2 linked regions of the Macaca fascicularis genome follow. The protein of the gene in region 2 interacts with the protein of the main gene of each other region in a biochemical or structural test. Links are inferred from orthologs where the notes say so. Each region holds a gene or a part of one and is shown on either strand. Other genes may lie near its edges.

The links.
Region 1: the proteins of ANXA1 (region 2) and S100A11 form a complex in vitro, tested with the Homo sapiens proteins (2 studies listed by BioGRID). The link is inferred for Macaca fascicularis from reciprocal best matches to the Homo sapiens genes ANXA1 and S100A11.

What each region holds. Positions count from the first base shown.
Region 1 is NC_088375.1:109,111,821-109,124,112, reverse strand, and holds S100A11 (protein S100-A11), read right to left. Parts: upstream 7,658-12,292; 5' UTR 7,553-7,657; coding exon 7,550-7,552; intron 4,420-7,549; coding exon 4,267-4,419; intron 3,443-4,266; coding exon 3,281-3,442; 3' UTR 3,121-3,280; downstream 1-3,120. UniProt on the Homo sapiens protein: Facilitates the differentiation and the cornification of keratinocytes.
Region 2 is NC_088389.1:103,843,834-103,856,239, forward strand, and holds the start of ANXA1 (annexin A1), read left to right. Parts: upstream 1-6,481; 5' UTR 6,482-6,541; intron 6,542-12,406. UniProt on the Homo sapiens protein: Plays important roles in the innate immune response as effector of glucocorticoid-mediated responses and regulator of the inflammatory process. Has anti-inflammatory activity.

The sequences.
Region 1 (12,292 bases), on a different chromosome or scaffold from region 2:
CAGCCCAGGGTATCTTTTTTTTTTTTTTTTTTTTTTTTTTGAGACGGAGTCTCGCTCTGTCACTCAGGCTGGAGTGCAGTGGCGCGATCTCGGCTCACTGCAAGCTCCGCCTCCCGGGTTCACGCCATTCTCCTGCCTCAGCCTCCCGAGTAGCTGGGACTACAGGCGCCCACAACCGCGCCCGGCTAATTTTTTGTATTTTTAGTAGAGACGGGGTTTCACCGTGGTCTCGATCTCCTGACCTTGTGATCCGCCCGCCTCGGCCTCCCAAAGTGCTGGGATTACAGGCGTGAGCCACCGCGCCCGGCCTCAGCCCAGGGTATCTTAGAAAGCTGCAGTCAAGGTGTTGCCCAGGGCTTGGGGTCTCACCTGAGGCTCAATTGGGAAAGAATCGCTCCCAAACTCACATAGTTGTTGGCAGGATTCAGTTTCTCGAGGGCTGTTAGCCTGGGAACATTAGCTTGTAATTGGCTGTTGCTCAGGGGCATCCTCAGTTCTTTGCCACGTCAGCCTCTCCAGACTTGCTTCATTAAAACGTACAAGCTGAGAAGGGAATAGAGACCCTGCTGGCAAGATGGAAGACAGTCCTATGTAACCAAATTGTGGAAGTGACATACCATCACTTTTGCTGTATTCTAATGGTTAGAAGCGTGTCATAGGTCCTGCTCACACTCAGGGGGAGGAGATTGCACAAGAATGTAAATATGAGAATGGGGGATTATTGGGGGTTATCTTAGCATTCGCTCACCACAAGCTGTATTGCAAGAATTTAAGAGTAAAGATAGCTCTTAGAATGGGAACACTGACATAATGGGAACCGGAAGAAATTTATGAAGATACCGTCCCACCCCTACATCCTACCTTCTTCCTTCTCATCACTTCACAACCTTTTCAAAGGAGTAGACTACTTTGTACTGCCTTTACTTCCTAATTTGCCCTTTAAAACACCCTCCCCCCAAACGATTTTGATGCAGGTGGATTAGAGACCATGTTTTGGGAAGTTCTTCTCTGCTCATTTTCCCTGGGTAACCTCCAAACTCATGACTTTGGTCTATGTGCAGATGACATACTATTCTATATCTCCAGCTCGGCTCTCTCTTTCTCAAATTCCCAGTTCATCTGTTTAACCTAATATCCCATAGCTAGGATTTTTATTGTTGCAAGTGATAGAAAATTCAATTTAAATTATTTTAAGCAAAAGCAGGGACATATTGACTCATATAGCTGCACAGTCAAGGCACAGCTTTAGCTTTAGCACAGCTTAAGAATTACAACTGTGTGTTAGCTATCTGTTATTGTGTAACAAATTACAACAAACTTAATTACTCAACACAATTTCACTGTCTCACAGTTTCTGTGGGTCAAGGGTCTTAGCGTAGCACTAGGAGTTGGTATCTTTTTAAAATTTCTTGGCTCCGTTTCTCCAATGTTGGCTCCACTCTTAGATCCCTTCCCTGTTGTCTTGAGATGGCTATTGGCATGTCTAAGGCTACAAACTCTCAGATTACAATCCACCGAGAAGGAGGAATAAGCAATTGCCTTTATCCCAGAATTTTCAGCGAAGGTACTGAGATTCCTTTTATTTTGACCAGCTTAGATCACAAGACCACCCTCGGCCAATTGCTGTGTCCAAAGGAATGCAGGGCACTCATTAGTTTCGGCATAGGTGTATCCTTGACTCTTAGAACTGGGGAAGAACCCTACCCAAACTAAGAACACCAAGAGATGGGGAGTGCAGAGCAGGGCTTGATTCAGGAAGAAGGGGAGATGGATGCTGCAAAAACAAGGAGCAGGCACACACAAGGAACACATCTCAAATACAACATGGTTTGTTTATTTATTTATTTATTTGAGACAGTCTCATTGTGATGCCCAGGCTGGAGTGCAGTGGTGCGATCTTGGCTCACTGCAACCTCCGCCTCCTGGGTTCAAGTGACTCTCCTGCCTCAGACTCCCAAGTAGCTGGGATTACAGGCGTGAGCCATCGCACCCGGTCCGTTTTTCTTGTAAGGTATAATTTAATTAATTATCCCATAAACCAGTAAAATATGGGTGTGAAGAGATAGTTTTTATCTTTATGAAAGTCAAATTGAATTCTTTTCAAAGACTTGATGATTCAAATGTGCTGAAGATAATTGCAGTTGCTGCAGGTATAGCTGAGACAACTGTAAACGGCTGAGGCAGTGGCTCACCCTAAGGCGCTGGCCTTCATTTTGGAATGTCAGAGCCAAAAATGACCTCAGATGTGGTCTAATCCATTTCACTGAATTTATGAAGGAATAAACCATGATCTAGAGAAATTTTTGCCAATTAGTTAAAACTCATATAAATGGATAAGGAATCAGAAGTTTTCGGGAAACACATCAGTTCTTCCCTGTGCTTCTTAGGAATAATTGCACATTGCACAAACCTGCCCCTTTCTCTCTCCTCTAATCTGTCATCTTTAACCCTGGGTCAGTCTTCTTACCTTCTTTCTGGGCTCTCTTTCCCTGCTGCTTTATCAGAGGGTTTAGAAAATTAAAACTAGTGTTAACACTAGCTTAAGCCAAACATGAAGACCTTGGCAACACGAGCCTCCTTTCTATTCCACAAACAACCCAGATCCTTCTCATCTTTGGAGGACCTCTGCCCTTCCCATTCCTTCTCTTTAAATGCCTTCTCCTTCTTTTCAAATGTTTGCTCTTTCTAGTTCTTCTTATCTCAGCACAAATGGCATGTCCTCAGAATAGTGCCCTCTCATTGTCCCCATGAATCTGTAACATAATTGTAATCTGCCCTTCCTAGGATTTATTATACTCTGATAGTCCTTTGTTTATTTAGTCATTGTTCTCTCCTCCTGCAACTAGAAGTTACACTCAGTGAAGGCAGGACCTTGTCTGTCTTGCTGGTTGTATTCTCAGGATCTGACAGTGCCAACAGGGGTAGCAGTGAGTAAACAATGACAATAAGTGACATCTCTCCATCAGTCAACAATTTAGAAATGAATCTGGCTGTACTATTAGTCATGATTATGTATACACCCAAGATGCATTTTTCTTATTTACTATGCAGCTTCTATCAATCTAATTTATATTCCTCCCACTTTCCACCCTCCCATGCACAAATTCACCAACTCTCCAGTTCATGTTTTAAAAAAGTGACATTGTTTTATTACTATTGGCAGGTGGGGCCTGCATGAGGTGGTTGGTATGCTGGGCTCAGGGGATGTGTGGGCTATGGAGATGATGACAGAAAGGCTGGAAGGAAGGGGATGCGTTTGAAGGCCAGGCCCAGGGGGTCCTCAGATCCGCTTCTGGGAAGGGACAGCCTTGAGGAAGGAGTCATGGCAAGCCATAGCTAGGCCACCAATCAGATTCAGAAATTCTGAGAAATCTAGCTGTCCATCACTGTTGGTATCCAGTCTCTTCATCATGCGGTCAAGGACGCCGGGGTCCTTCTGGTTCTGCAGAGATGATAATAATTATACCTTTATATTGCATCTTCTAAGGTGCTTTCAAATATGCTGCCACATTTTATTCTCACAGGAGTATAAGGTACAGGATAGGGATTATTAATATTCCCATTTTCCAGATGCAGAAACAGACTAAAAGAGGTAAAGTGACCTGCCTAAGGGGCAGACCTGGGGCTTGGACCAAAGGTTTTCCCACTCCTTGTCCAGGGCTCTTTCTATGACATTAGGGGCTATTCAGTTTTGTAAAGCCAGCGGAACACTTCTTTCAAGTGTTGCATGCAACTCCAATAGATAAACTGCATAAAAGTGCAACGGGTCCAGGTGGAAAAAGGCCACAGGCCCTGCCTAATCACTCTCATCCTCCACTTGCCCAAGCTGCCAACGCAGATACACACTTAGAGCCACTGGTTACATATGGCTATTTACATTTACATTTAAATTAACTAATTTAGAAAGTCAGTCTGTTAGTCACACTAGCCACATTTCAAGTGCTCAGTGGGCACATGTGGCTGGTGGCTACCATACTGGATAGAGCAGATATAGAATGTATTTCCACCACTGCAGAAAGTTCTATTGGACAGGGCTGCCCTAGAACCTTTGGGGTGTAAGAATAAAATTTGAAAACAATTCCATTATGTCATATACCATTTCATATATCTCTCTTCCTAAATGGAAAAACTCCTGGCTTAGAGTGAGTTAAAATGAAGCAAGAGTGTGGGGCGTCAGTTGCTGGTCTTTCATTCCTGGCCATTCTGTCAGGGTCTCGTTTCATGATGTGGGTATTTTGGGGAAGTGGGGGAGACAGGGACCAGTACCTTTGTGAAGGCAGCCAGTTCTGTATTCATGAAGCTTAGGAACTCCGTCTTGGAGAGAGTGTAGTTATAACCATCCTTTCCGGCATACTTCTGGAAAACAGCAATCAGGGACTCGATGCACCGCTCAGTTTCTGTAGGGCTGGAGACTTTTGCCTTTGGAGAAAAAAAATGCAGGGCTCAGACAAGGGAAGATGTCAAGGGCTGGATACTGCAGAAAACTCCACGGAATCTTATTTCAGGTCAAAGCAGTTTCCCAAAAGAGTGAGTCATTTTTTTCAGGGGGCTGAGGGGTTCAAGACAACCACAAAAAGTCACACTCTGTGACCTTCCGTCCTACCCCCTCCACATGTTTATTCCAGGTGAAATATATGGAGGGTAAATGTGGGGCATTGTCGGCATGTTTAAAAGCAGTAGACTGCCTAGATGAGAGTGAGGGTGACAAGGTTTACTCATACTTTTAGAATGTGTGGATAAATACATGTGTAACTCTATATCCACAAATCCATATGCACACCAAGCACTGTCTATAGGTTAATAATTTCCAACTTTCCAAGAGTGTATGGAGGCTTTTGTGATTAATGAAATGTCAGTTCTTTTTAAAGCAATACCAAATTCCTGGGACTCACACATTTCCTTAGAGAAAACTAAAAGCATAGCTATCATTGTGTATGCAGTGGGAGAGAGAACTTTTTAGATGTTTGAAAATGGCTTTCATATTTAAGAGTTAGGAATCATTAATCTTAGATGTAAGAAAACGGACAGGAGAAGGAAATGGATATGACAGAGCCAGCCCTGGAATCTGGGCCTCTCAGTCCCGTTCTGCAGTCCTTAGCCTTGCAGGCTTCCACTTCCTGGTGAGAAATAGTGACAGAGAAGGTGGAGCTTCTCTGGAGGTCACTCCAAACCAGGAAGCTCTCAGGTTGTTGCTTACACAGCATCTACAATGTAAGATATTTAAATCTTGTACTGGGCTCATCTTTCCTCACAGCAGAATTTTTCAGGGAAATTCTACAGGGCCCAGTCATCCGGTTATTCCAGCAGGGACTTGGGGTCCCAAAAGTGAGGAGCTGTTGGGCTCCCTCTGGTGGATAGAAGCCGCAATTACAGACTTCCTGGGAAACCGGCCTGACCACACCCTTCCTCTGAGACTTCACCTCCCAGCATTAACAATGATTTATGTTTGGATGGTGACATTTGCAATTTAGCATTTAGCCTTTCGTTTGTTCTTAGGATGGACTTCCTGGAGCTCAGAGCTACAGGCTTTCTCACTCCGTAATTCACACGAGCTAAGAACTGATCTGAGCCCTTAGCTACACAGCTGCAGATTGATCCCTCCTTCCTGTACAGCCTTTATGCTACAGAGATCCTAGCTGAGATCCTGCCTCCCATTGCATCTTACAGCATTAGAACCCCTGAACCCTAACAGTGGTGGACTTTTACCCAAGAATCACATGATTGGAGAATGACTTTTTTTGTTTTGCCCTAAATTGAACTTTTCCTGAAGAAAAAAGAAAAGTGTTGGTAGGTTCAGGGGCCTTTAGGGGAGAAACAAAATACCACAGCCTAGAAACAGATGTGTTTGTTCTGTTACAACATGCCCTTTATATCAGGCCTAAAATCTCCCTGTCTTACTAAGGTATCAGATGACAGGAAGGAGGCTGGCTGGCAGGCCACACCAGGCTGAGGAGCGTGGGCTTTGTCACCTTTCTCTGGAACTACAGATTCTCCCCCTGCCCCTTTTCCTTCCAGAATGCAGACAGTTTTGTTTTCCAGTTTCACAGTGCCTTTCTGTTACACATTTTTCTCTCCTTAACATCAGTCTTGATGTAATTTAGAGATTACCTTCTTTTGAAAACTGTTGCTGTTGCTATCAGCCACAAGAAAATTAAAACCTCTTTGCATTTCCTCCCAGAGGTAATTCTCCGAAGTGAAAGAAAGAAATACAATTATCAAATTACTAAAATGTAATGGCATAATCTTTAGAGCTCCAGGGCACTTTGGAGATGGGTCCTGAGGACGCCCAGAGACCGAAAAGCTCTGCCCATGGTGGAGCCGTGGCTGAAGGAGAGAACAGGTGCTCGCCACACCTCATGGCACTCTTGGAGTCTTATTTGGTGGGGATGGCGATAGCAAGGAGCAAACATTATGATAAACGGATACTGTGAAATAATTTTTAAAATGCATGCTAAGCGCTCAACATTTGAGGAAAGAATAAAAAAATACAATGAAAAGGAAGTAGCAATTTTAAAAACCTCAACTATTGTCTTCTCATTCTTAACCAACACCCTCCGGAGCTTTCTGTCCCTGCTGTAGCAGGACTGCAACCCCAGACAGTATGGAAGGGAATGGGCGTGGCTGTGTTCCAGTACTTCATTTATAGACGCTGAAGTTTGATTTCCACATAATTTTCACATGTCAGAAAGTATTTTTCTTCTTTTGATTTCTTTCAACCATTTACAAACGTAAATTTTATTCTTAGCTTGTGGGTAGAACAGAAAACCCGACTTGGCCCGCAGGCCAAAGTTTGCTGGCTCTCTTCACTAAGGAGAGGTAAAGAAAGAGATTTTGGAGGTGTAATTATGGAAAATACGAGTTCAACCGGGAGATGAAAGGAGATAAGAAGAGAAAAATAAGTTACGGAGCGAGTCCCTAAAAAGATGGTGGGGTAAAAGGAAGAGGAAGGAGAGGGCTCAGCTGGGACCGGGTTCCTCCCACATTCTTGGCCGCAGTGCTGCCGGCGGCGACGGGCTAAAGTTTCAGTCCCGTTGGGTCTTGGCCGTCGGCCGGCTGCTTACTGAAACTTTGATTTTTCCTGGGACTAGACGACCAAGTTCTAAAATGTCCCTTTTCTGGTCTACAGAAATAACTAGTGACCCTTCGCAGCTTTCCAGCCCCTTGCCTTCAACTTGCTTCTAGGCGTCCCTGGGCTCCCGGGAGAGCACGGGCGAGGGGCTGCAGGCACGGACCCAGGACTGGTCCCCGCCCCCGCGCGGTGAGCTGCCAGCACTTCCTCTTTCCCAGCCCCGGGCCTTGTCGTGACTGGGAAGGCTAAAGAACCTCCGCTGCTACCCTAGGCTGTCACCACAGGGATGATTTTAGGGCTTCTTCCTTCCATCCCTTCTTCCCTTAGTTCCATCCCACGAGGCTGATTTTTCCTGCTGTTTCCTGCCACGTCCACACATAAGTCAAAGATAAAGTCGGCTGGGAAGTATGTGTGTGTTTTTTAAAATTCTTTTTCTTTTCATGTACGAAGAAGACGAAGAAGAAGAAAAGCGAGGCTTACCATGTTGGAGCTGAGCGAGGCGCGGGAGGCTGTGGCTGGGAGCGGCGCTGAGAGCTCTGTGCGCGCGGCGTGCGGGTCTGCAACCTCTCCCCGACCCACGCCCTTCCCGGCCCAGCCTTGCCCAGGCCTTACTCAGACAGCCTCCGCGCCCGCCCCGCCCCGCCTCCCGGGCTGGGCCTGGGACGGCGGCCTGCGCTAACCACAGAACTGCGCTTTAAGAATCAAACCCACCGTCCTCTCCAGAGATTTAAGCAGTCTCACTCTCCCTCCTTTCCCTCTTTTCCCTCCTCTTTCCCCCCGGCCCTCTCCACCCCGTCCTGTGAATCTTGAAGATTTTTGACTTTGTAGATTTACAAGTTTTGCACAGTAGTCTTCAGGAAGTCTGTCCATGTCCGTGGGTCTTTCATGAGCTCATTCTGGGCATTTAGGTTAGATAGGCAGAAAGGTCTCTTTTAAAAACAATAGTGGGCCGGGCGCGGTGGCTCAGGCCTGTAATCCCAGCACTTTGGGAGGCCGAGGCGGGCGGATCACGAGGTCAGGAGATGGAGACCATCCTGGCTAACACGTTGAAACCCCGTCTCTACTAAAAATACAAAAAATTAGCCAGGCGTGGTGGCGGGCGCCTGTAGTCCCAGCTATTCGGGAGGCTGAGGCAAGAGAATGGCGTGAACCCGGGAGGCGGAGCTTGCAGTGAGCTGGAGCTTGCAGTGAGCGCCCCTGCACTCCAGCCTGGGCGGCAGAGCGAGACTCCGTCTCAACAAACAAACAACAAACAACAAAAAACAAAAGCAAGAGCATTAGGACAGAGTGTGGGTCAGAATTGTAGACAAGTTTGTAGGAGTTGGGGCTGTCTATTGCTCCACAGGGAAGATATTTAAGAAGATATTTAACAGTAAACAGTGGTGAGTATTGCCAAATCAATTGCCATGGGATTATTGTCAAGGGACGACTGCCACCCCTCTCTCTCAAACTTTTCTGTAAACTGAGGACAGCCGCAAAGACAAAATCCAAAAACCAAACTACTGCACTTAAAAATTGATCCGTGCTAGTAAGGCATTTATCTGTGTGCAGTTTGCAACTAAATTGGGAGTTGTATTAATAATCAAAAGCCCTGCGTTCCAGTCTTGTGTCTGTTACTTCATTGCAATACTTTTGACAAGACTTGTCACTCCTTTGAGCTTCTATTTCCTTATGTGTAATAGGTCTTGAGATAGGCCTTTCCTGTTTCATAAGATTGTTAGGACTGTCAAGTAAAGTGAGGGCTTAGAAAGGTCTCCAAAAACTGCAGAGTAGATTCGAATGAAAGATAATGGGCTGTAGGCGTTGTGTGAACTGCTTCCCCGCACCTGCTCTCACAGGTGCCCTGAGCACATGAGACAAATCTCCATCTCAGTTCTCAGCTACTCCAGACCCACATTTTCAGTTACTTGTTTATGAATCCACTTGAGAGTCCCACTTGCACTTCAGACTCAACAGTTCAAGAATAACTAATTTTCCCCAAACCTGTTTTTCTCTTCTTCTTTGCTAAGGGTACTATCACTCTACCATTTTCCCTGCTTGAGAGCATTGGAGCCACTGAGTCTAATTGCCTTTTTGACTCACAATTTTTTTCAAGTGCCAGGTAATAGACTTCAAACCTTTGGTGGTGGTGGGTGTTACGTGAGTGGCTGCTGGGGTTCCTTAATACCTTAAAGTTATACGTAAATTTTCTGCATAAGAGAAATTTTTCTGGTGAAGAATCCATATCTTTCATCTGATTCTCAGAAACATTTATGATCCCAAAATATTAAGGAATCATTTGTCTAAATTACTCCATCACTCAATCATGGGGCCTTTCACACCACAGTTCTTTTCTTTTTTTTCTTTTTTGAGATGTTGTTTCGCTCTTGTTGTCCAGGTGGGTGGCTGGAGTGCAATGGTGTGATCTCAGCTCAATGCAGCCTCTGCCTCCCGGGTTCAAGCAATTCTGCTGCCTCAGCCTCCTGAGTGGCTGGAATTACAGGTGTGTGCCACCACACCCTGCTAATTTTTTGTGTATTTTTAGTAGAGACGGGTTTTATCATGTTGGTCATGCTGGTCTGGAACTCCTGACCTCGTGATCTGCCCGCCTTGGCCTCCCAAAGTGCTTGGATTACAGGTGAGAGCCACCATGCCCAGCCACTACAGTTCTTTTTAAGAGAAAATGCCTCACTTACAGCCTCTGCTCAAGGGGCAGCCCAGGTGGCCAAGTTTTGCATGATTTGACACACTGTGACCCTGTTAGAGTGGATTGGGTTGAGGTTAGCTCTGGACACCAGCACTGCCCATCTATAGGATGGCCAGTAGTAGATGTTTCATGACATAACACGGAAAGATGAACTAGGGCCGAAAAGCTTCTTGTTCTTGGGAAGCTGAAATTAGAAGCACATAGAGAATTAGGCATTTAGAAGAGCCGAAGCTGAATATTTGCATAGACAGAACATGAAGTCATGGCAAATAAAAATTATGGAGAAGACATCATGAGTAAGTGGAAGCTATGAAATTTGGAAGAAATACACAGAGGGGAATGTAAGCCAATTGCTAACTGTAAATTAAAGAAAAAGCTACTTGGGTGTTCGCTGAGTTGTGAAAACGATGAACCACTGGGAGTGAAGAGCCTGCAGTCTGACTTCATTAGCGTTTTTGTTCTTCCTAAACCTAGTTGTTAGTTCTTCTTATTTTCTCTATGACATTTGTTCTTTCGATAACTCTTCAGCCCCATGAAGTAGCTTAAATGAAACCAAAGAAAAAAGCTAGGTCAGGTGCGGTGGCTCACGCCTGTAATCCCAGCACTTTGGGAGGCTGAGGCGGGAGGACCACGAGGTCAGGAGATTGAGACCATCCTGGCTAACAGGGTGAAAACCCGTCTCTACTAAAAAATACAAAAAATTAGCCGGGCGTGGTGGTGGGCGCCTGTAGTCCCAGCTAATCGGGAGGCCGAGGCAGGAGAATGGCATGAACCCGGGAGGCAGAGCTTGCAGTGAGCTGAGATAGCACCACTGAACTCCAGCCTGGGCGACAGAGAGAGACTCCGTTTCAAAAAAAAAAAAAAAGAAAAGAAAAGAAAAGAAAAAGAAAAGAAAAGAAAAAATGCTAAACCAAATAAGTATGACTTGTCCAGAGCCAGGTTGGGGGATCAGCCCCACCCAGTTAGGGCTGCCTGCCTGACAGCTGCTCCCCAGGGTCATGCTGAAAGGGATTCATTTCTAGGTTACCAGTCAAAGGAGGGAGAGTTCAGGAAAGGTAGCAGGCAAGGTAGATTTGACAAAGTAGGCAAACAATGAATCGAACTGAAGGGCTGGAGCCGGCAAGGAGCTGAGGATGAGTGAGAGCTGGTAAACTGACAGCAAGACACAAAAATGATATACAGATGATTAAAAGGGCTGCTCAGGAAATAAAGGTAGGAACTTCCATGCCTCAAGGTAATTCTTATGTGCAATTTGATCTCTGTGTATCATTGGGTTCATTCTGAAATGGACACAGTACAATGTGACAAACCCAATAGCAAGGGTGTGACAAAGATTCAATGACAATGCCAGGAAAGAAATGACAGGTTAACTCCGGGAGTGCAAGGAAAGTGTCCTGGAAAAGTGCTGCTTGAGGTGGGTATTGAAGGGTAAATAAGGATTCACCAGGTGGATGAACATGGTAGTGAAAATAGGTGAACTCAGGCAGGATAGCACAGTATTTACAGCCACAGACTGCCATGAGACTGGGGTTCAAATTCCCGTCACTAATATGTTGCTGTCACAACATATTAGTGATATGAAATCTAGCAAGTTATATGTTGGCTCTGTGTCTCAGTTTCCTCATCTGTAAAATTGAGAGAATAGTAGTTGTTGTGAGGATTAAGAGTTAATTCATGTAAAATGCTTAGGACTTACAGCACTATCTTCAGAGGAAGTTTTACATAGTGGCTTGTGTAGAATTAAGGTTCGGGATGAAACATTGTTCATGTTCTCAGTACTTGCAGGTGGTTCAGTAGAACCAGACTTTAGGGTGTGGGGTGATGCTAAATGTGAGGCAGAAGCTGTGGGATGTGAGATGGGAGAGATAAGGGTCAGCTCATTAGGAGATACACTTGGAAGTTTGGATTGTAACCTGAGGGTTATGTATCAAGGAACACTGAAGATTTTTAAGCAGGACAGTGATGTGATCCCCTTCACTTTTGGAAGTGTAAAAAACATGTTCTAGAAAGAAGAAAGACTAGAGGCAAAGAATATTAGAATATTGTTGCAATAACCAAGGTGAGATGGCCATGGAGATGGGGAGAAGGAATTGCCAAATACTGAAAAGGCAAAACCAACCTAACTTGGCCACTGTTGAGCTGTGGAGCATTAGAGAGAAGGAGGCATCAAGGGTGAATCCTAGGACTCTAGCTTGATAGCCCTGTGGTAGTGGTACCATCCCCAAGATAGAGAACATAAACTGAATAACATTTTGAGGGGCTTAAGGGAAGATGATGGTTTGATATTGATCAAATTGAGTCTGAGGTAAGTGGGACAATTCGATGCTAGAGGAATTAAGCATGTCCAGTGTCTATCTTATGTTCTCCCATAGCTCGTTGTATCATAATTCGTATCATACTCTACTGTTATTTTATGTTTACTTAATCATCTTCCTCACTGGACTCCAAGCTGCTTAAGGGCAGAGGTGGTGCCCTGTTCACTTCAGTATTTCCAACATTCCCTCATTCATTGAGCAGATATATAAGAAGAATCTTCA
Region 2 (12,406 bases):
TGCATGTTCTTGGAGGTGCACATCAAGGGACTTTTTGGTGATCTTTAGATTTGTAGGTGCACTGCTACTTCACGAAAGAGACATTCTGGCCCATCCATTGCCTCCCTTAAGACTATACAAGCGTCTAGACCCAACTCTACACAGACCGGGTGGCTTAACAGAATTTTATTTCCTCACAGTTCTGGAAGCCATGAGCCCGTTATCAGGAAGTTAGCAGGGTCAATTCCTTTTGAGGCCATGAGGGAAGTATGTGCCCCAGGCCTCTCTCCTTGGCTGTGGATGACTGTCTTCTCCCTATGTCTTCACATCATCTTCCCTTTGACGATTCTTGCCAGTGCTGTTTCTTAGTCTCTGCCCCTCACCATTGCTCTATTTGTCCCACCAGAGGACTAGGGTTCATCTCTTTCCTCCTATTAAATCTCCAACCAGGAAAGGAAGATATGAGGAGATCCTGAGTGAAAGGAATGGCCCTCATCTCGAAGGCTAGTTACTCTTTCTCTGTACCGGTTTACCTGTTCTCCCAAATATTCTGGAAGCTTATTCCATCAACTACTCTGTTTTGTTGCTGTTGTTTGTTTGTTTTCCTGTGACTTCCCTCTTCTTTTATAGCTCCTTATGGTCTACCTGAAAACATGTTCAGACTTCCCAATGCTACCTCACAATTATTATCTTGTTACTCTCTTTCGGTTTTCCACCATTTAGTGAAAGCGTGTATGTCTAAGAGTTGCTTACACTTAACTCCATATCCTCAGCTCCTATGGTCTTCTCAAACAATTTCTCTCCAGTGTGTTTCCAAAACCCTTTATCCTTAATACCACCACCTCTTTCTTAATTTCCAAGTACTAGAGCCATTTCTAAATGACTTCCTTTTAGAGCCTCTTTCTAAATGACCATTTTGTATCCTTTGGCAATGTTTTTCACAGCTTTCTTCCTGACACTTTCGCCTACAGTTGCTTCATCAGGATGACATTCTCTTGGCTTGCTTTCTGCCCCACTTAATTATCTTCTTCTGTGTGTTTTTTATTTTATTAGTTGCTGCCAAATGACTCTCAAACCAACAAGCAAACAAGCACCAGCAATATATGAGTGTATCCTTTTCTAATAGTATTTACCATTATTGCCAGTAAAGGTGTTACAGAAAATTTGAGGTGATCACCAGCCTGATGGGTATATATCCATATCCGGTCATTTCTTTAAACACTATTTCCCTCACCACTGTAAATGTGAACAACTTTTGCTGTTTGTTTGGCAATGTGGATTTGCATATCTGCTGACTCGGAGGCATTTGACTGTACTCAGGTTTCATCCATTTTGTTGTTGTTTGGGTTGCTTGCTTTACAATTTATAAGAGCTCCTGGTACAATGTAGATAGTAACACTTTGTTAGTGCATGTAAAGAAATTTGAAGTTGTTGTAAGAATCTACTGATTTTGCTTATTTTTTCCACTTGAGGATTTTTATTTGCCTATATTCAAAACACCTCTCACTTCTTTTATAATAGCAGGCTTTCAGCCACAGATTAGAGTCTCCCAACACAGAGATTATGTATATTATTCCCAGAATAGATCATCCTGAATAGTGATCTTTTGCCAGTTACTTTTAACAAAGTATAATCATATTCGACTTGTAAATGAGAAAATGAGATTTAGGATTTATCAAGTTTCTCTTTGAAAGAAAATGTCATTTTTCTATTGGATAATAATCTATTTATAATAAAGTTAACCAAAATCCACCCCAACCAATGCAAAGCAAACATTTATTGTGACTTGGTCTGGAAACCTTTCATTACAAATTTAGCTACAAGATATTTACAGAATATCTTATAAAGTTTATAGTTTGTTTTATATATTTACTCCCATTTTAATTCTAGATCCATCCAGATCCATGTTTTTTATTTTTTAATATAGCATAAGGATCCAGCTTTTGTTTAACTATTCCAGTTTAAATAATTGTTTTAAATCACTTTTTAAACCTATTGAGTTAAAATAGAAATTGAAAACAAAATTATTAAATTGAAGGATATGAATCTTTGGTTCATGTCATAAATCCACGGAGTTGTCAATGATTATGTGAAGACTTTCTGTATTTTTTGTGTTCTGATTACATAACAATTTTTGAATTATTGTATTAGAAATTATATGGTACTGGTATATCTTAGAAAGTATATAATCAAATGAACTTTCTTCTTTTTCATTAATAGACTCTAGTTTTTAGAGAAATTTTAGGTTTACAGAAAAATTGAGCAGAAAGTACAGAGAATTCTCATATACTCACTTTCCGCCTGCTCTTAGTTTCCCCTATTACTAATATCTTGGAATGTTGTGGTCCATTTGTTTTATTGGTGAATACATTATTATTAGCTAATTGCCATAGTTTACATTAGGGCTTACTCTTCATGTTATACATTTCTATGCGTTTTGCCAAATGCAAACACCATTATAGTATCATACAGAATAGTTTCACTTCCCTAAAAATCTCTTTTATTTTTCTGAGACGTAGTCTCGCTTTGTTGCCCAGGCTGGAATACAGTGGCACAATCTTGGTTCACTGCAATCTCTGCCTCCTGGGTTCAAGTGATTCTCCTGCCTCAACCTCCTGAGTAGCTGGGACTACAGGCATGCACCACCAGGCCCAGCTAATTTTTTGTGTGTGTTTTTAGTAGACGGGGTTTCATCATGTTGGTCAGTCTGGTCTTGAACTCCTGACCTGATAATCCGCCCGCCTCGGCCTCCCAAAGTCCTGGGATTAAAGGTGTGAGCCACCATACCCAGCCCACTTCCCTAAACATCTCTTATTTATTACTCCTCTCTGCCACCAACTCCTGGCAACCATTGATCTTTTCAATTTCTCTATAGTTTACCTTCTCCGGAATGCATCTTATTGGAAAGAAACAGACATAGCCTTTTCATACTGGCTTCCTTTTCTTAGCAATACTCATTAATGATTCCTTCATTTCTTTTCCTCGTTTAAAAGCATTTCTTTTTATCACTGAGTAATATTCCATTATATAAATGTACTGTAGTCTATGTATTCATTTACCTCTTAATGAATGAGAAATATCTCAGTTGCTACCAATTTTTGGTAATTATGAATAAATTGCTGTAAGCATACATGTGCAGGTTTTTGTGTAAACATGATTTCCTAACTCATTTGGGTAAATATCTATGAGCACAATTGCTAGATTGCATTGTAAGACTGTGTTTACGTTTGTAAGTAACTGCTAGACTATTTTAAAACAGCTGGAACCTAGAAAGCAGAGTTTGACCTTTTGACCTTAACACATATCTTAATTTTCCTTCTGTAAAACTTCTTGAAAATGTATTAAAGTAAAATTTGTCATCATAGTGAATGTGACAAGGTCTTATTCTCTTACTTTAGAATAATATAGAGAGGGATATGGATACTATATTCAGGGAAATAGAAAAAGACTTGTGAAATACAAAATTACTAATCCTAGCATGATCCTGATGTTGGAAGTATAATAGTTGAATCATCAAGTCATTGGCTGACTTTTCCTAAGTCACACAGTGATAGATACTAAGCCATCACTGAATCTGAGTTTTTATCTTCTCTAAGACATTCCACCCACAAAAGGAAATATAGAGAGGCAGGGAGGTAAGATCTTTTTCCCTAAGTGAAGTCCAACAAAGGCACCTCCCTTTGGCTTTCGCTACCCACGTGACTACTTCATTAACCTGAAAGAGTAAAATTTGAAAAAAATTCTGTCTTTAATTTATGTGAATAACTGAGGAATAATAATAAGGAGAATCCCAATAACTCAGTGTGTGTGTGATAATTATTTGCCATGTTAAGAGGCAAAGGGAAAAACATTTATATCACTAGTTCTCAAAATGCTTTGACCTGGGGACACATGAGAAATACACACTAAAATAATGATTTTCACTGGCTGTGGAGAGGGGTATGAGGAAGCTGAGGGGAGATTTTGGAATTTCAGTGAAATGCTGTTCTTGATCATTCAGAATATACCCTTTCTTCCATATAACAAGTAATGCTTAGATAGAGCTGAATGTAAAGGATGAGGGGACACCTTACTAAGATCAGATATTTTGCAAGAGTCTTATGCACAATGAGATGTATGTGAGAGACTCCATATTTCCTCTCCTTGTTTTGTTTCGTTTCCTCTTCACTGTCAGATTCTAAACCAAATGAGTGAAAATAAACATGCTGTGAAAAACGTAACATATAGTGATTGATTTTAACTGTCTTTTTTCTTTCCTTCTCTTTCTTTATTTTCTCTGTTTGTAAAGTAAGCGGAGCCGATGAATCATCATCTTCTAGAAACAGCAAGTGGTGAGTCATTTATCTGGAGTATGTGGCGTTTCACCCACAAAAAAACATTTAACCCATGATTATCCCCTAACTGTTAATGATAACGTATTTTACTTGTTCTTTTATTTCCATAAATCTACTCGACATTATTATTGTGTGAAGAAAAAGATTCTGACAGATTATTCACAGCAATATACCTAGATGATTAGTGGCTTTCTTTTTGTTTTATGTTTAGGAGTTTCACTTGCCTTTAGTGTTACAGCTGGAAGTTAATTTTGGAAAAACATTCTTTTCAGTTTTTTTCTTAATTCTGCTACAATTACCATGTTTATTGTTGATATTTTAGGTTTGTCTATGTATTACAAATCTAAATACATAAAATAATTCCATTCAGTTTATGGCACTGGTAATAGCAGCAACAAAACAAAATGAGACTATATATGTGTTCTAGGTTGTTATATTTTATAAAATGTAAGTGAACTTTTTTCTTCATTTCACAAGAGCGTCACTGTACAGGAATGTTCCAATAGTTCCATTACCAGAGTTAGGAATACAAATGCAAATTAAAGACAAAAAGAAAACCAGATTTTGTATAATTATCTTATTCCTTCTCACCTGATGACATAAATATGGTATTAGAAAGTTAGTCTACATTTGTAAAGATCAATGTGCAATATCAGTTAACTTGTTAGCAGATAACTAATTATTTTTCAACTTACACATATGATAGTAAAAACATATATTGACATTTTCTGAAATATTTAGATTAGATGATCCTCCTACTTCAGGATATGTTGACTTCATTGATATTGGCCTTGAGAACTTAGACTGTATTATAAAATACTGTTGATCTTTACAAAGTATTTTCATTAACTTCCTGAACTTGATGTATTTTACCTGAGATATCTATGAGAAAAAGAGGAAAAGAACAAACCACCAAATGTAGCATAAATTGAGCCATAATGCTGTGAGAGTTTACACTTGTGCACTTTAATGGAAACATCATATAATATTTTGTTGGGTTTCACGAAGAATGAAAATGAGCCACTATGGAAGTTACCAGAACCAATTTTCCTTCCATCAGGTGGGAAATTTCTTATGGAATGTGTTCTGTAATAGTTGCTGATCCAATAATCTTTTCATTTCATAGGTCTAGTTCCTTGTTTTGTTGTTCAACTAGTTTCCATGTCAAAGATCTATGCGTATCAAAATTTATGCATAACTGATCTATATTACAATTTATATATACAGTTCTATGTAACTGACTCTATTTAAAAGAATTAATGTAGATAGGCCTTTTAATGTCAATGCTTTCATTGAATGTCATAATGATCAAATTTTTGGCATTACCTTTGTTCAAAATTTTTAGCCAATCTGGAACTTTATTACTTCTATATTTCTTATAACAACAAGCTATATCTAGGAACAAAAGTCTTTTGTTTTTGAAGGCAAAAAAAATATAAATAGAAAGTCATTCGGCACTGTGTAATGTTAAAATTTACAAATATTATGTTATTTCTCCATTGTCACAAGAATTCTACTGGATAGACAACTTAGATAATGCCCCTATATACAAAAGTAAAAACAGCTAGGCATGGTGGCTCACACCTGTAATTCCAACTCTTAGGGAGGCAGAGGCAGGAGGATAGCTTGAGCCCAGGAGTTTGAGACCTGCCTGGGCAATATAACAAGAACCCATTCTCCACTAAACGGGAGGGAAAAAAGACAACAAAACAAAAGTAAAAACAGGTTCAGGAAAATTAAATATGTCCCTAAAGTCACAGAATAATAAGTGGAGGTGGAATTCACATGTAAAATTTTGTTTGTTTAGTTTTGAAGGTAACATACTTTTTTTAGTCTACAACCTATTTAACTACAAAAGTGTGCCAATCAGTGGTATTAGGATTGGGGCAGATGTATACTCTGAAAATAAAAGTGCAAAATAAATATACCATCTGGAAATAAAAGTGCAAAATACAGAGGGGGGAAAAAATCAGTCCTTCCATTTATTTTCCTTTGTAATGCCAGTTGAGTTGGTTTAGTGAGTAGTTTTGCAAGACTTGTTTCACTTTGTTTTTGGACATAGCTGAGCCACGTACTTCAAACAGAAGGCAGCCAATTACTAACTTCTGGTTGCTAGGTGTGGCTTCCTTTCAAATCCTATAAAATCAGGAGCCCAAGTCTCCACCGCTAGTGTGAAATCTTCAGAGAAGATTTTCCCCTTAGTTCTTTGCAAGAAGGTAGAGATAAAGGTAAGTCTTGGTTTTCCTTTTAGTTAGTTTTGGTTGTTTTGAAAACTTTTCTCATCACTATGTTAAATGTTACTGCTTCTACAGGATTTATGGTTAGTTGCATTTAACATGATAAGTCATTCATAAATCTTTCTGTAGAATTACATTGGATATTTATATTTTAGGAATCACAAATTACAATGTTTTTGTTCTTCTTAGTTAACAAATACAAGTAAAAATATGATAAGTTTGCTTAATACTGGCTCATTGTACTCTTGGTAAGTTACCATGAGAAAGAAGGAAAGAATGTGCTTTTCCTTTGGTAGCCTTTAAAGAATGTGTTTTTCCTTTTCTTCCCCTTGAAATATTTCTTCCCAAGAGCTGTGTGTGTTTTACTGAGAAATCATGATGGGGGCTGCTTTTTGGGGGCAAGAACAAAAGTGATAAGAGTGAGCTGCAGGGAACTGTTTCAAAATAGTAGGACTTTCATAATTTATTTTCCTCTTTTGTAAGGAAAACAAGATAGATCAGACCTCAAAGTGATAATCATGCCCTTTGTAATAAACATTTTTAAATATATGTTATGTTTGCTCGTGCTATTTAAATTAAAAATATATGTTATGTTTGCTCGTGCTATTTAAAATAAGAAGGTCCGCTTATTACTTGTTTCATTTAAAGAGGGTGTGGTCACATTCCTTTTCTTGGAGGCTCTGTGTCATATACAGGCTTTTCAAATGCTGGCTGGAAAACCTAAGAAGGGAAATACTTACTGGGTAATGTCAGATACATTAGCCTAAGGGAATGTTAGTAAGGCCCTCTAACAGCTATTCCACTTGAGTGTTGCATGAGCTAATGGCCATAAAACTCCTTAGAAAAGCGCAAAGCAAAACTAAAGAAGAGTATTTACTGGTGTTGGATATATTTGTAAAAGTGAGATTACAAATCATGACCATATATCTGGGTATTTTTTCTTAAACATATTCCTTCAAAGATTTTTCTGTTTTTTCATTTTAAATGTTTATTAAATGTTCTGATTTCTTATGTTCACTGCTAGTTAATTAACAAGGATGAGATTTTTCCTGCCTCGATTATGTCTAAAAGATTGTATAAACTTTGAAAAAGCAATGTTACCCCCTTTCCACAGGAGTATTTTGGTAGCTGTGAGAGAGTGCACTTTGCAAATGACTCAAATGTGGTAAAATGTTGGTTTCATAATTCTGAAATGGCCTCTTCCCCAAAAGTGACATTACCACCCTAGCTCCAGGCTCAACCACATCTGGCACATAGTCAGCATTTAACAGATGTTGACAAAATACTTAAGAATAATATTATTAAGGAACCAACCAGAGTTTCAGGCTTATTAAATACTTTTTCAACCAAAATGTCTGCAAAGGTTGATTTCTGAAGATGACATTAGCTCTCTCTAGGCCTATTAATTTATGACATTTAAAATAAGAGCTAAACCAGTGGAATATTTTCAATGATAAACTATAAACAGTTTTTTGAAGTCAACTATTTCCTTTTCCTTTAAAGTTGGAGAGAATTTCATCAGGAAGCTCAGAACAGATCCAATTTACACAATACCCTCCTTCATTATGCTAGTTTTCTTCATCTTCATCCACTTGAAGTAAAATTTAAGATTGGCACTTCAGAGCTGTAAATGGATCTTAGATACTAATTACTTCAACATTTTTATTTTATAAACGAAGACCCTCTGGAGAAGCTAAATGTTTTTCTTGAGGTCAGATGCCAGATAATCAAGAACTAGTACACTTCAATTTGTATTTTATATCCTATAGTTGTGGGGAGAAAATGTTTGTTAAATTAGTGTAGATATGTTTTTAAAAATATTAGCAATGATACATGATACTCATTCAATAATACTTATTAACATCCAGAATTCCAGGCATTTTGCTAGGTATTGGAAGTACATACATAATGAATATTATTATGTTAGCACGGGCCTCATGGCCTGCTCCTGGGGAATATAAATAAACCAATGGAAAGTGATAATACAGAATGGTGGGGCTGGTGTAGGGGTGAAGTCAGGATGCTATGGGAGAGCATGGAAGGTCACCTAATCCAAGACTGAGGAACGAATGAAGGGTTTCTGAAGAACATGATGAGGTCAATGCTGACGCCTCACTTAGGAGTAGCTATTAGTTAGGCAAAGAGAACTGAATGTGGAGAAGGAACAAGTATTCCAGGCAAGAAGAACACCCTATCGAAAAGCTCGGAAGCAAAACATTAGTGAGGCTACCTTTCATAAATTGCTTTTTGTAAATCATGCCATTGTGTAGTCTTAATTGCCTTCTCTCATCAGGAAAGGTGTGGGAAGGACTTGTGAAATATATATTCGAGGAAAAACTATGCACAAGGCATGCATTTAAAAATAAACTCCCTAAGGCTGGGTGAAACTTGCCATGGTCTGCACAAGTTGACTGTTAATGAATTTGATTCTCAGGTGTGAGTTATTAAAAAGAACACTGATCATGTCGTTTTCTTTTTGGTCACTAATTTAAAAGAATAACATCCTTCCCTCCTTCCTTCCTTCCCTCCTTCCCTCCTCCCCTCCTCTCTCCTTCCTTCCTTCCTTCCTTCCTTCCTTCCTTCCTTCCTTCCTTCCTTCCTTCTTCCCTTCCCTTCCCTTCCCTCTTTCTTTCTTTCTTTCTTTCTTTCTTTCTTTCTTTCTTTCTTTCTTTCTTTCTTTCTTTCTTTCTTTCTTTCCTTCCTTCCTTCCTTCCTTCCTTCCTTCTTTCCTTCCTTCCTTCCTTCCTTCCTTCCTTCCTTCCTTCCTTCCTTCCTTCCTTCCTTCCTTCCTTCCTTCCTTTCTTCCTTCCTTCCTTCCTTCCTTCCTTCTTTCCTTCTTTCGAGTCTTGCTATGTAGCCCAGGATGGAGTACACTGGCATGATCTCGGCTCACTGAAGACTCCACCTCTTCCTAGGTTCAAGTGATTCTCCTGCCTTAACCTTCTGAGTAGATGGGACTACAGGCACTCACCACCATGCCTGGCTAATTTTTGTACTTTCAGTAGAGACGGAGTTTCGCCAAGTAATCTGCCCACCTTGGCCTCCTAAATTGCTGGGATTACAGGTGTGAGCGACCATGCCCAGCCAAAATATACAACACTCTGGAATCAAAAGGGATGGATTTATGTCACCAGTCTTACCAGTACTAGCAGGAAGACTGCCTGAAAATAATACTCAGTTTTCCCAGATAGAAACTGAGGATAATGATGAAAGGCTGTTATTCCAAGCAAGGGTTAGTTGTTGCTGTTACTATCATTGCAAAACTCTGATAGTTCTAGATTGTAACCAGGAAGATATAATCAACCACAAACCTCAGCTTCCTCTGTCACAAATACTAGAGGTAGCCTTTCAGGAGGCTGAGAGATGGAAAAATGAAGGGGGTTCTCTTTTAGGACACATAAATATGCAAAAAATGCTACTCTTTAGAAAGTTATACATTCAAATAATAGATAAGTTGACATTGGTAGGCAATGCATATTCACAAAAAGACCATTAATTAGAAGAAATGTGAAATATTGTTAATTTCCTTATAGATTAGCCTATGTATAAATGGCTAATTTCACTTTCATTGAGCTCATGCTAAGTACTTAAATAAACTTAGTTTTAGAGCTTATTGTTGGTTAGTTGAAATCTGTATTGAGTTAGTTAAAATCTGTAAGTTGATAGAACAGGCTCTTTAAGATCTATTGCAAGCTTTATACACTGCAAACAAAAAGACAGAAAAAAGAAAACCTTTTGTGAACTCATTGGCACAGGTAGATTTTCATGCAGAGTATAGGTACTGAGAGTCAGAATGGCTTATGGATAGAATTTGGCCAATATATATATAAAATGTATTTGGTATTTGTTAGATGTATTATAATTATTAGGAAGCTCAGTTAATATGTGCAGTTGGCTTTGGGCCCTTAACCAGCTGTATGTGATAAAATCTGTTTCCTTTAGAGCAATTTCTATATCCTGCCTTGATGCTCCTGTCTTTAATCTTTGCTAAGAGCTAGTGGTGAATTTGGCTGAATTCAGATTCCGTTTTTCTCTAATTGATTTCTTGAAGAAAATTCTCTATTGGCTGCTTTTCTTTCCTAGATTATGCTTTTAGTCTATCCAAATACTTCAGGCTGGAATGTAGGAACTTAAAAGATATAAATCACAAAGCTATCTCCTCTAGGGATGCTCTCTCTGTCAAATAAGTGACTTAAACTACTTATTTTTGTTATCTTGTATTGTGTAATTAGTATACCTTTTCCTAGGCTCTGTCTAGCTTTTTTTTTTTTTTTTTTTAAATGGACATTATTCAAGTATTTTTTAGAAGTAAAAAAAAAAAAAAAAAAAACTACTATGGTAAAGTTTTTGTAAAGTTTATTTTGAAGTTATCAGAGACACCTTTAATTTTAGACTGGACTATATCTTTAGTCTTTGTTTTGCTTTCTTTTGAAGTTTTTATTTGCTATTTGAAAAGAATGGAATTAATGAACATGTTTTTATAAGTGATGGAGTAGTACTTTACCAAATGATGAATTATAACACTTATTTTGATGATTCTTCTTTATCGAAGGCTTGGATGAGATGATGAAAATGGAAATTTAGAGTGCCTGAAGCTGCTAGAATTGCTTTTAAAGTATTGGGTGTGTCAATTAAGAAGTTGGAATATGAAACTCCATGTGGCAACCGCAATTGCACAGACTAGATTGTAATGGGAACTAAAACCTTGTGCAAAATTGCACGTTGTTACTTCACCTCAGGAAACAATTTTAAATTTATCGATTAAATTTAGGAAAGAGGCAACTTTAAATGAGTGGAAAAGGTATTGGTTCTTCTCACAGATGACAGAATAGTAATAAGAGCAATCCCATGAGAATTAAGTGGAGATGGTTTCTACTTTGGATATTATTTTCTTCATGCATTCAGTGTTATTACTTGGAACTCCGGTTATTTTTTAGCAGGTGTAAATTGAAAGGGTTTGTCTGAACATGCTGTTGTGGAATTAGTTTATGGGTTTTATGCCTCATGAGTCACTTATCTTCATATCAAGAATTTAAAACTGCCAAGATTATCCTCTCAACCTCTCTCGCAAGTATTCATGAGAGTAGTCTCTAGAGGGGTGAAACAGAATGGTGTGGATAGACAGATCAGTGTAGACCTTGAGCAAGGCCTCTGAAAAACGTCCCCAGACTAAAAGGATCGTGATGGCTTTTTATGTGTGTGTGGCCAAAACAGAGAATACATTAATTTTTAATATATCTAAGATCTTAAAAATATATGTCTCATTAAATAAAAATATTGCCAAGTCATGATAGCAATTCAAGAAATTTCCTTTAAGATAGAGTTTGCCAAAAGAACATGCATGTTACAAATTTCACCTCTAGGCTTCCCTTTAGAACCAAAAATCCTGTATAAAGTAATCCTTTTCTGGGTTTTTTGTCTTGGGTGGAAAAATACATAGGACTACTATTTAGACAGCTCAAATAGGATGAAATGTGAAGACAGCAATTATTTCAATGCTGAATAATTTTATACCAAGAAATAGAAAAGGAAACTAAATTATTCAGGGAGAAATATCACCTGGATATCTTTTTATAGATAAAATTTTAAATCTGAATTCACTTGTACAGGTTGTCACAGATTATTTTACCTTATAAATGTAATCATTGTCTGGGAGCGGTGGCTCACACCTGTAAATCCAGTACTTTGGGAGGCCAAGGTGGGCGGATCACCTGAGGTCAGTAGTTCAAGACCAGCCTGGCCAACATAGTGAAAACCTGTCTCTACTAAAAATACAAAAATTAGCTGGGTGTGGTGGCCAGTGCCTGTAATCCCAGCTACTCAGGAGGCTGAGGCAAGAGAATCACTTGACCCCAG